Linked DNA regions of Neurospora crassa OR74A. The protein of the gene in region 1 interacts with the protein of each later gene in a pairwise test. Links are inferred from orthologs where the notes say so. Each region holds a gene or a part of one and is shown on either strand. Other genes may lie near its edges.

Region 1 (6,009 bases):
AACTTCCCCCTTCTTCCTATCCACTCCCTTTTACGTCCTTCTCTCCAAGTCGGTATCCCCAAAGGGTCTGGCCAGGAAGTAAAGGGGTCGTCCAGGAAAGTCCAAAAAAGCTGTCTTCTCTCTCAAACCATTCTGGTGGTCTCTGTTTTCGGTGTGTGTCGGCCGTACGCAGCCAGCCCACGTTTTTTTTTCAACCCATCAACCATAACCGTTAACAGCAGCAGCCAGTTTGGTTCCCCGACAGTTTGGTGTGCCTATTATTTCCTTGTTTTTCCGGTAACAAGACAAGAAACAAATCTTACGAACAAAATCAGGAGGAGGAGAATCGGAGCCAGGTACAATGGTGGGAGGGACGTCATTTACCTGGGTCCGGTTAGTTGGTTTGCGGGACTCGAGGTCCTACAACCAGGCAGAACGAAGGAGGAAGGCTGGCAGAGTAAAAAAGTTAAAAAAAGGGGGGGCGAAGGACATAAAGAGCATCGATCCATCCGCAATGAAAAGAGGATGGTTACGTGCACTCTGGGATATTAAAAGGGGTTAGGCTGTTTTTATGATAGGATGGCTTTGTCATAAACGTCTTTTATGTTCTTTTAGGGGGCTCTCTCATGTCTGGTTTCTTTTTCTTTTTTTTTTTCCCTCTCTCGAGCTAGGAAATGGTATTTTGGTACGATCACACATTACTAGGCTTCTCGGTTCACGCGAGATGTGTCTGTCGGTCACTGGAATGTGACCCTGTAAGAGCCAAAGCACGTCCTTGTTCTACTCGAGGACAAGACGCAACATGTGTTAAACAGCACCTCTTCATCCCCTCCTCGCTCAAGTCCCCATCCGGCTATGTACATATATCATTTTTCGTTCCTCTTCTTGCTCCTTGCAAGACCCGCCCGCACCGCCCAGTAAAAGTCTTGCTTGTAACAACATTCCATCAACCTCACTAGAAGAGAACCGCCGAGATGTCCTACTCTTCACTATTTATGCTTATCCTGGTCCAGTTGTTCGATATATGACCAACACTTCTTCTACGATGTTTCGGAGCTGTCCGTCTCCCCCTTATTCAAATTGTTTCTATGAGACTAAACCAAACCCAAGTGACGAAGTAATTACTGGTCCGTAGGTAGCTCTCGGAAAGCAGCAGCATAAGAAACTCGGGACTCAGGAACATTGAAATTGTTGAAAGCGGCAACTACTGTAGTCACGCGACCGAGTATTTTCCTTTTTTCCAATACAAAACACTGTCAAACAGTCCTAGGTAGGTAGGTAAGTAAGTAAGTAATCTTCAAGATACATATATATCAATGAAACCTCTTCAGGCACTCGCCGCTGTCTTTGAAGAGTATCAAGTTAAGATGGGAAACAGAGAATAAAAAGCTGGTATAGTATTTCTGAAAGTGGAAAAAAAAAGTATAATTTTGCATTTCTTTTGTTTTCTTGTTAAACACCAGTGACGAGGTGTGAATATTTCCAAATACGGTGAAGCTATATATATATATATAGTATGCAACGACACTGCATCCTTTCTTTCATTCCTTCCTTCCTTCCACCCCTCAGCTTTCCTCTTCCCCTTCCTCTCCTTCTTCTTCTTCCTCCTCCTGTTCCAGCAACGGCCCATCCTCGCCGTCATCATCTCCTCTATGGCCAAATAACGACCAGATGAATGGATGATGGTTGGATATCGGTGTCTCTCCAGTCTTGCTTTTCATTCCTTTTGCACTCTTCTCCTACTTGGAACCTTGTTGTTTTCCGGTGGCTCTTCACCGTGTCATTGTTGGTATCGGGCACTTAGTCCCAATCATCACCATCATCTTCATCATCTGTTTTTCCACCAGTGTTAGCATCATTCTCGACATGCTCTCACACTTCACAAGCCAGGGATAATCCAGATACTTACCACTCTTGCTAACCTTCTCCTTTCTCTTCTGCAACGCCAACGCCAACGCATCCGCCATTCCACCACCGCCACCCGGCGCAGCTCCAGCGGGCGGCAATCCACTGCTTGCGGGCCCACTATCGGAGCCACCAGGAACAGCAGCACCGGAACGATCGCGAATCTGGCTTCTGTCTACCTTCTTCAACGCCCTGATACCTCCCGCGGTCTTGATGCCGTCCAACACGGCCGAACGACTGCCGTCAACAGGTGGCAAGGCAGGGGCGGGCGGTGGAGGCATACCACCTGGAGGAGGGGGAGGAGGAGGGGGAGGGACACCACCCATACCACCCGGTGGAGGAGGCGGAGGCGGAGGCGGTGCGCCGCCTGATGGTGCGGGCATGGGTGGCATGGGAGGCGGCGGCGGGGGAGCATGTGCTGCGGGTAGAGGGGGCGCCGGAGGTGCTGGCGGTGCCGGTGGTGGCGGAGGAGGCGCGCTGGTTGCGGGAAGGGGAGGTGGTGGAGGCGCCTGGGTGGCCGGTAAAGGCGGCGGAGGTGGCGCGTTCGAGGTCGGGAGAGGCGGTGCCTGCGGTGGTGCCGGGCTTCTAGTTGGCAACATGGGGGGCGGCCGTGAGCTCGCAGGCGGGAGGGGAGGTGCTGGTCCCGGTGCCTTGGGAGGCAGAGGAGGTTGCGCAGCTGAATTTCTCGGGGGCGGTGGCGGAGGAACAGAGCTACGGCTGGGAGGCGGCGGGGGTACACTTCGTTGGCCTGTGAATGGCGGAGGAACGCTGAACCTCTGGCTCGGGTCCTGATCTTCGAGTGGCGTCTTCGGCGGCCGGGGAGGTGGTGGAGGTCCAGGCGCAGAGGGCGTATGTCGCGGGGGATCAGAGTGGGCAAACTTGCCAGCATCGGCGATGGGAGGAGGAACAGCAAATCTCGGCGGAGGGGCCGGTTCCTGGTGGTTTTCCGTGTCGAGCTTGCCGGATCTCCTTGCTGGAGGGGGAGGCGGGGGTACTGGCCCTCTCCTAGAGGTCGATGGAGTTATCGACTCGGAGACACTGCGCGGAGCAGCAGCAGGAGGAGGTGGTGGGGGAGCTCTCATTGCGGGACCATTAGGAGGAGCGGATGGCGGCGGCGGCGGCGGCGGAGGAGTGCTCGTGTGTATACCCTGCTTCGCTTGCTCCTGTTTCAAGAACTCAATGATAAAGTCCTGGTTTTCGCGGATGAAGTCGTCGTCGAGGCCTTGGGCCTTGAGGTCGTCACCGAAGTGTTCCCTCCACAGGGGATCGAAAGCATCCAGGGTCGCAAACTCGGAAGGAGGCTTGTATCCGTTTATTCCATTAGTGCTTCCAGCTCTCATACGGCCTGCCGGTGCAGCGGCACGTGGCGACTCGGGCGGGGTGGCTGTCGGAGACGCGTGCTTATGTCCTCCAAACAGACCGCCGAAAAGACCGTGGTGCTTGTGGTGGTGTGCCTGGGATGCGCCTCCGAAAGGTGTCTTGCTGGTAGCCTTGCTGGCGTTCTTTTCCCTGTCGTTCATCTTCTTGAGGAACTGCTTGGCTTCCTTCTCGTCCACGAAGGACAAGCCAGCCAGGCATTCCTCAAGCTCGAAGGTATGGAAGAAGACACGGTCCTGGTTGTAGTTCCAAGTGTCGAAGATCTCCTGGTCCCATATCACTCCCCTGTTTCCGGGCTGTCCGATGTCAGCCAAATGGTGGCCAGCCACGCAATCGTCATTTTCACACTTACCGAGATATCAACCATCTTGATCCAATATGTGTTGCCCACGAGATCATTTGCCAGAACGACGGCACCCTGGAGGCCGGTATAGGTCCATCTGGACGGGTTGGGGTAGGCTACATAGAGCCTGGCGACGGCGACGGCGTGGATCTTGTTGGTCTGCTTGGGCACGCAGCGCTTGACCGTTTCCTTGTCGTCGTCGCTGAGGATGGACGGCATCGTGAATATATATGGGGGGTGGAAGCGTGGAAGTGGCTTGAGGTAGGTTGCGGCCTGTCGTCCCCTTTAGATCGTCCAGGGGGAGCAAAGCATGGATAGATTGGGAGTCGTTATGCGGAAATTCGGTAGAAGGACTCGGCCGGCGGGCGCAGCGCCGAGAGGTACTGTTATGAAGCTGAGTCGTCGTGCCTTGATCCGGTCGGCGGGTCGGTCGGCGAGGGGAGGGGGGCAACGTCGACCGAAGGGTGAGGTAGCAAGTCGGAAGTGGGATGTCGTATTAATGCTTTTCGGGTCGTTGGCGCTTGTTATCGACGGCCAAGTATCTTGTCGGTACAAGATAAAGTAAAGCTCCGCGCTTCCGTGGCCTTGCCGCGTAGGAATAAAAGCAGTTGACGGAAGCCTAGAAGAGACAATGGAAGTTGCCGGTTAGCTAGAGGTAGGTCTGGGTATTGGAGGCACGGATGTTTGGTGGTTGGTGGGAGGAATAAGGAAGACTCGGCCGCCCGGATGTCCAATGACTGAAAGGAGCAAAAGCAGATACTGAGTAGAAGAGACGGCGGCAGGCTGGGAATAACGTACCTCGGACAATGATCCAGCAGCCTTCAGTTGGCAAGCTTAGTTATAATCTGCCGTGAAAATTCAATGTATTAAAGCTGTACAGACTACAGAGAGAGGAGCAAGTCCCATTGCAAGGTAGACAAGAAGGAAGTTGAATTGCGGGTGTACCTGGCAAGAGGTTCCTTAGGCATGCAGTGAGTGTACACTACTTAACTACACTATGTACGGGGATTGGGAGTTGCATCACTACGGCGGCGGCAACGACCGGGCTGTTTGGCTTTGACTGAATGGAATCAGGATGGCAACGAAACCCCAGCAAGCCACAATGACCAATTTCCGACGGGAAGCGACCAACTTGTGGACATGAACCAGATAGCGTCATGACATTGTGCCGGGGGTGGATAGGGCGTCAATTGTCCGTGTCCACTAACAGTGGGTACCTATCCCTCAACTGAACCCCTCCACTATTCCCGCCCGCCGCTTGCACAGCCGACCTTTCGCTTGCCCGCCGTGATGATGGATGTCCAACGAGACGGTTCCTCCGAGAGCTGGGTGTTTGAGGGACATGTTGAAACTGGCAATGACAACAACTTCCATGTGCATTTGGAGGTTATATGGCTCAGGTTGATATAGGATGAAAGTAGTGTAGGTATGTACGAACATGGGATGACATGAAAGTACCTACCTACCTTCACATGCTAACATTGCTCCCATTTGAGACAACTTTCGAGGACCAGACCCCTCTCATTTGGGCGCAATTCCACCACCAAAGTCACTTTAGGCTCCAACAGGACTGATCCATCAGAGTAATTGTCAAAACAGTTCAATTATGTTATGTGTATGTGTGTGTATCATTCAGTCATTGCAATCATTCCATCCATTCCCCTGTTTGTCCGAGTCCATATCTTTACTTGTTGAGCGTCTCGGCCTTGGCCCTGCGCTCCTCCTTGGTGCCCTCCTCGCCGCCGATGTTCTGCGAGATGGCGGGACCGGGCATGGCCTTTGACGCCTGCTCGAACGTGGCCTTGGCACTATCAGCGAGCTTGTTGAGGGGGTTGTTGGGGTTCTTCTATTTGTTTGGCCAAAGAGTCAGTTTTCTGTTTTCTGTGATTCACACAAGGCACCAGACTAGGGAGGAAATGGTAACGTACTTGCTCGTCCTTCTGGGTGTCGTGGGGAAGAATGTTGACTTCCTTCTTGCTGAGATCGTCGCCGCCGGCCATTGTGATGGTCTTGATGTTATGACTTGTCTTGATGGTTCGTGAGGAGTGGGTCGTAGTGAGACAACTGAGAGGAGTCTTGATCAACTTTTTCGATATCGTCTTGCAGGAAGATGGGTAAGGTGTAGAAGTGGAAGGTTTTGAAGGTCGAGAAGGGTCTCTTTTATAAAAGAAAACGATGGATGAGCAAAAGGGAATAAATAGGAAGAAACCTGTAGTCGTCGTACCACGTACAAGGGGCCTAAAAGAGAGGGTGTAAGACAATGACGTCGCCTGGGGGTGGTCACGCGTCGTTTACTAGTGTAGGTATGCGGCGGCAGGCACACTGAATGACAGCTGCTAAAACCTCCCACGAACAGCGCATCAAACCGACAAGACGGAGCATTGGATCTTGACTCCGACTGGAGG
Region 2 (6,175 bases), about 470 kb from region 1:
CGATGTCGAATAGTCAAGTTTCTTGTGGTGGAAATTGTAAACATATGGATAGTAAGAGCAATATGACGAGAAGGAGCACAAGCGGCCTACGGAGGAAGATTGGCACGATGGGTACCATCAGAACCAGAGCGGTGACGGCGTAGAATAATACCTACAATGAAACTGGGTGCGGAGATGGATGAAGCTACGTAAGTTACCAACAGAGAGCAACGCAATGAACTGGGGAAATACCTCTAGAGTAGAGATGTCAGTTCCTTGGACGGGCATGTTTGCAACCAATCTGCTATTGCTTTAGCGGACTACTACAATTGTAACAAACTACCTATGTAGTGTACATTCATAGCTGTCTTTGTCACTAGGTGGCTGGCTGTTTCCATGTTGGACCATAACAATGTAAGCAATATCCCTGTCCGAGATGTGATGGACATGGGTAGTGGTGATGAGCGACCTGGAGCGAGGTTAGGTAAGATCCTCGCATCTCCACACCTTCGCTCCTGGCTAATTTCGATAATCTCGGATTTTCCTCCATCATGAAGATTGGAAATTGGCGATTGAGACCCGCAAATTGGGAGGCAGCCAACAAGCTCAATTAATCATCGGACTCGGTACATTATCGATATCATGATCAAGCGGACTGTGTCTTCATTCTCTACAGGTAGGTAGTTCCAACATCCCCAACTCCGGCCGCTGGATGTTCAATTGCTGCTTGTGGGTACATCTCCTTTTGGGTTCACAGCCTCCATCCGTCCGTCCATCTTCTCTCCGTTCCTCGCCATGCATGAAATTCGTAAAAACAGCACCCATTTCCATCTTCCCCCGCTTTTTTGTCCTGTTCCCTCTTCCATTGCCATTCTCCAGTAGCGGCCTATCCTCTGCCGTAGCTGCCGAACGCAAAATAGAAGACATGTAAAGTTGATACAAGAACTAGTGTAACACGAGAAAGGAAAGACATTGAGAAAAAGGGTAAGAGAAGATAGAAAAATGACATTGCAAGAAAAAAGGGAAAAAAAACTCCATTTCCACCCAAACCTTGCCCCGTCCGCATCCAACATCCGGTTTCGCCTTCGTTTCCAAACGAGCCACGGTTTTTGGTGTGTCGCATTACGAGTCCCGTGGGTGGTCGAGAAGAAAGTGTAACGTTAATGTGGGTATAAAACGCCGACTCAAAAGAAAGATAGATAAAAGAAAAAAAACCACTTCATGATTTTGTTTTGTACTGGCGGTTCACACGCCAAATCCTCTCTTTTCAAAAAGACGAAGAAAAACCTCAACTCCATCCCCGACCCATTCAAGCCCGCTCATAGCAAAATCAAGTAATTGCTCGGCGCAATACCCGTTTCTCCATTCTCCTTCCGTGCCTGCCACCACCGCCCGCTCACGTCGCTAATCTCCAGCACCTCATGCTTGGAGAAACTAATCTCGTTGGCATCGTCCGGGTTGGCCTCATAGCTGAATATCGCCTTGGCCCTGTACGGGTACTCCGTCGGCGGAACGATCTCCCCTTCTCCTTGCGGCTTGGGGATGTTGTTGGACGAGAAACCCTGGGGAATCTGCGACTGGCGAGCGGGGTTTTCGAGCCCGTTGAGCTGACCCGTGTACATTTGCGGAGGCTGGAGGCCCGAGGCCGAGGTTTCAGGGCGCATGTTGTAGGAGCCGTAAGCATTGGGAGAGGAGAGACCGTTGTGGTTCATGGTTTGGCGGCTCATGTGATGCGCAGGGAGGGTGGATTCCTTGGTCAGCGCAAAGGAGTCGATGTAGGCACGGGGAACAGCCGATGGGGCGGAGCCAAAGTAGAATATCCAGATGATCTGGCGGGACGTTAGCAAATGGGGTCAGCCAGCTGGGGGAAGTTAGCGGGGAACCGCATACCGTCACCATGGACAACAAGATATACCCAGCCGCTGTCGCCTCCATGGACGCAACGCCACTGTAAATCAGGTTGTTGATCGACGACGTGGAGCCGACCAGCCCGACGGCCAGGTAGCCAACGATGGCGACATGGTAGGTCTGAGCGCTGTCCGAGGCGATGACGATGAAAATGCCGAGAATGAGGAAGAAGTTGAAGACGAGGGTGAACCAGCTGTAGGTTGGCCAAACAATGACGGGAGCCCCATTCGATCCGTCATTTTGGTCCCTAAAGCCAAAGATGGATCCAAACAGGATGATGATCCATGACAGCTGTGGTGATTGTCAGTTCGTGAAGGCGACAGGACGGGAAAAGGGTGGACGCCAGCGCGCGCGCGTATGGAAACTCACAGTAGCAATAGAAGTAGTGGCCAGAGCAAATGGGTCACCAATAATGTTGCCCATGTCTATGCCTTTTCGGCGGTACGAGTTCCTGCCGTGTTCCATTTTGGGGTTGTTGAAGGACGGGGGATAGTTAACCGATCCTCCGTACGATTGCATCAAGGGCGAAGGTCGCCAAGGAAGAGCGTCCTCTCGGGATATTCGAGGTCCGTGTTATAAGTGATGGACCGACGTGTGTGGGACACTTTAGTTGACGCACACCTTCACTTGGGGTATAAGATGACGGCGAGGGGCCGTGTGTGTGTCGTATTCCGGGGACCAGTCCGCGGTTGGTAATGCGATGTGTTTGTTCTGCAATGACAGATGCAATGTCACGAAAAAAAAAAGAGAGGAAGTTCGACGGCGACAAGTGGTCGAAGTCGAAGCAAGAAATTCGGGTCGGGTAGCAATTGTCGTTTGCTGCAAGACGTTGAGCGAGGAATTCGGTGTCCAGCAACGCGGTATGGCTCGTCTCGGTCGTTGCAAATATGGGTAGGTAGTAATTGGGCGATGTATGGAAATGAGTCGAAGGTAGGACAGTTGCAATGTTATTGAAAGATTGGGTGGTCGCTGTCGGGCTGCTCCGTCGGGTGTTTGTTGGTTGGCAATCCGCAAAGAGGAGGCTGAGTCCAAGGGAAGTGGCCGTCGGGTACTCCAAGGACACTCAAGACGAGGACAGAGCCTTTGAATCTTCAGGGGAAATAAGCAACGAGTCGGTCGCACGGGTCGGGAGATGTGACGGTACGGTAGTTGTCCGTTGGAACGAATGGCGGCGGCGGTACGGTATGGGTAGATACGGTAAACACGCAAGATCAATCGGTAGTTGGAAGAAGGGCGGTAGAAGAGTCCACTGGAAGTCTGGAAATGGTCCTGGATTCCTTTTTCCTGTTTTCTTTCTTCTTTTGTTTCCCTTTTTCTTTGTTTGTCCGGTGTATGACGGTAGTCGGGTGTGATATCTCGGTACCTGCCAACGTCGTATTGTACTATCCCCCCGTCTTGTTCCGGTTCGCGTTAATAAAGGGCTCAGCTCAGCTCAGGGTCGGACAATCGTATGCTGTCGTCGTCGTCGTCGTCGTCGTCGTCGTCGAGGTTGATGAGGTTGAGGGAACGAAGGGAGCGATTGATGGATTGAGCAAATTGTTGTTGGACGTGGCTGGGGCGATGATCAACGCCGGCCAATGGAGAAGTGAAAGGGAAGAAAAATTGAAGGAGGGAACGAACAGAAATGAGGGGATCGCACGGGCAGGACGGACGGACGGGGACGTGAAAAGGGAAATGGTGTGTGTGTGGGTGTGGGTGACGACGGCTGGGTGGTGGTGGGAGATCCGGAATGGAAGGCCAACGACGGGGCCTGGCTGAGGGACTCCGGGGCGGGCAGCAACCGGGGGGGGATGAGGTGGCTGCTGCTGTGGAAACGAGTGGACGAGACCGCGCAAGAGAAGTGAGGAAGGGACCAACAATGGAGCCCACTGAATCCACTGAAGATGGGGGGGAGCCATGTCCGCTGTGGAGGCTCTGGACTCCTGGAGTGCGTTGCCTGGCGGCTGCTCGCTGCACAATGAATGAATCCTTCCCTTGCAGTGACATAGGTACAATGTCCGGGCAACACGCGGCAACACTGCGAACGAGCCAATCGCATTATTGCATTTGCTGGGCTAATGAATGCAATGTCCAGTCAGAAGAGGCACGGTCCTCAATCTCACTGCAAATCGTTAGGCCAAGACATTCCAGGCGCTGCTTACCTACTGTACCTCTAGCGGCTGTGTGGGGACGGGAGCATGGAGCAAATTAGAGGTACACAGACACAGGGCGGGCTACTGTAGCAGCTCGATTTCTTTTTCTGCACTTTTTGACAGTCTTTGTAGCTGATGGTGGTGATTGATGGGGAGTCATACCTACCTAGAGGTAGACTCTGCTTGGGTGATTAACCTGTTCAAAGTGAATGATGGCTCTAGGGTACTGGGTCATGGCCAGGACATCTTTATTTTTATTCTTGTTTTCTTCTTCCATCTTGATATATCTTACCTCGACACTGTTCAAACTCATAGTCAAAAAGTCTCAAACATTCACAACATTGTAACACTCGGAAGTCAGTCAGGCAGCTAGCCATGTGGCTTGCGTCTGTGCTCCATTCACTCATTGCTAGGTCGTCCAGAAACATCGTGACCGACTGTAAATGATAGGCTGAGAGCTGGCTACCATGCGACATCACTCAGCTGAGCTCGGTGACGGGCAGAAAATGTCAACAGAGAGACGGATTCACCATGCCACGAATCCACACCCATGCAGCATGCAGGCAGGGGCTTTAGGCTCGCCGCGTGAGTTCTAGGGCAACGCCGTTCGTTTCGGAATCCCATCTGCAGGAGCCAAACAATCACTGCCGGCTATCAAGCGTGTTTGTGACGTTTGTAAAAAGCCTCTCCCGTGAATTCTCATTCCAGATAGAGCGCTACCACAGCACCGTCGATCTGGTTTTTGTCGGTGCTAACGGCGAGCAGAGTGTTGATATCGGCTGAACATTCCAGTGGGCCAAAGATGACGCCCGACTCCCGCGCATCTGTCGCGTGATATCTGCCGCGCAATGACATCTGCCCCATTCCCTTGGTCACTAGCATTGTTCTCGTACGAATGTGCCAACCACTGTTGATCTGCTCTTCACACTTCGTAAAGTGCACGCGCGCTACCAACGGCGTGTCGTATTCCATACGCACAACCCCAGTGATTTGTTCGCGGTCGCCTAACCTGTTGATCAATCGTGACGCCGTTCTCTAGCGGCGGTAAAATGGCTTCCGTGTGAGTTTTGTTTCCCGCAAGCCAAAATCCATGCTCCTCCGCTTCACTAGCCATGTATCGCATAATCTTGTCTCGAACCTCCTCTTTGCCTTCTCACTCTATAGCGGCGTCCATCTCCCTCACCCTCTCCGCTCTCCTTACCCTCAATTCGCACTTTTCCACCCTCGCTTCACCCTCCGCCACAAACTTGCCGTACCCCAGCACCCTCTTCTCATACCATGCCTTCATCACGGCTTCGCTCCTCTCCCTGAGCTCCGCTATTTCCGCCTCTTGCGCCAACTGCATGGCCTCCAGTCCCTTCATCCGGGGTATCAAGCTCGCCAACTCGGCCGAGAGTTTGCTGTCGGGAATCGCGGATTCAATGGTGTTGGCTGGGGCGGCTGCAACTAGGGCGGACGCGGTCTGGGGAAACTGGGAGGCGTAGGAAAGGACTGTCGCGAGAATGGCAGCAGGCGGGAGGTCCGTTGGTGGGAGCTTTTGATCGGCCGAGGGGGAGGTGTGGAAGAGTGTGGGGTTGGCTTTGTCTGGTTTGGGGCCTCTGGTTAGCTTTGAAGTGATGCGAAATGGAAAGGTGGGAGACAGAGAGGGACGTACGAATTTTAAGCAGCTCGGCGTACACGCGAAAGCGCCGAATGAGCAGATTGAAGCGGTGTTCAAGCTGGGCAAGAGAGGTCGTTGCGGAGGAAGAGGGCGCTTGCGTTGGAGGGTCGGAGGGGCCGTAGAGGATGTGCTCGATCCGCCGGAGACGGGATTCGAGGAGGGAGATGGTGGCTAGAGACGTTTTGTCGAGGCTTGAGGTTTCCTGGGAGACGTCCATGGTGTTGGTGGGCGAGTTCTGTTGGTAATTGGGGTTATGCGATGCGGTATCGGTGGTATCGGTTATACCCGCCTCGAGGGGATGTCGCAAAGATGAATTAAGATGGTAAACAGAAGCTGAGCTCAAGCAGTGGCAATTGTCCAGAGGAAAAAGAACCTTGACGGCGCGTGTCTAGACCGATGACGGGTCGTGTAAGGCTGTAAGGTAACATACCGTTCAATTCAACCCCGCCTCCGCATCCCGGACACCGCCCGTTGGACAGCGACTGGTGCCCGGACA

Evidence for each region.
Region 2: the proteins of NCU07438 (region 1) and NCU08067 interact in binary tests that used the Saccharomyces cerevisiae proteins (3 or more experiments, as listed by UniProt). The link is inferred for Neurospora crassa OR74A from reciprocal best matches to the Saccharomyces cerevisiae genes LAS17 and SHO1.

What each region holds. Positions count from the first base shown.
Region 1 is NC_026501.1:624,967-630,975, reverse strand, and holds NCU07438 (WASP-like protein las17p), read right to left. Parts: upstream 4,625-6,009; 5' UTR 4,403-4,624; intron 4,224-4,402; 5' UTR 3,824-4,223; coding exon 3,614-3,823; intron 3,558-3,613; coding exon 1,889-3,557; intron 1,812-1,888; coding exon 1,780-1,811; 3' UTR 1,389-1,779; downstream 1-1,388. Other genes in the region: NCU07439 (hypothetical protein), read right to left, coding at 5,289-5,450, 5,533-5,604.
Region 2 is NC_026501.1:155,510-161,684, reverse strand, and holds NCU08067 (osmosensor protein), read right to left. Parts: upstream 3,649-6,175; 5' UTR 2,407-3,648; coding exon 2,257-2,406; intron 2,179-2,256; coding exon 1,870-2,178; intron 1,809-1,869; coding exon 1,299-1,808; 3' UTR 569-1,298; downstream 1-568. Other genes in the region: ro-10 (RO10), read right to left, coding at 5,173-5,603, 5,674-5,896. UniProt on the Saccharomyces cerevisiae protein: Plasma membrane osmosensor that activates the high osmolarity glycerol (HOG) MAPK signaling pathway in response to high osmolarity.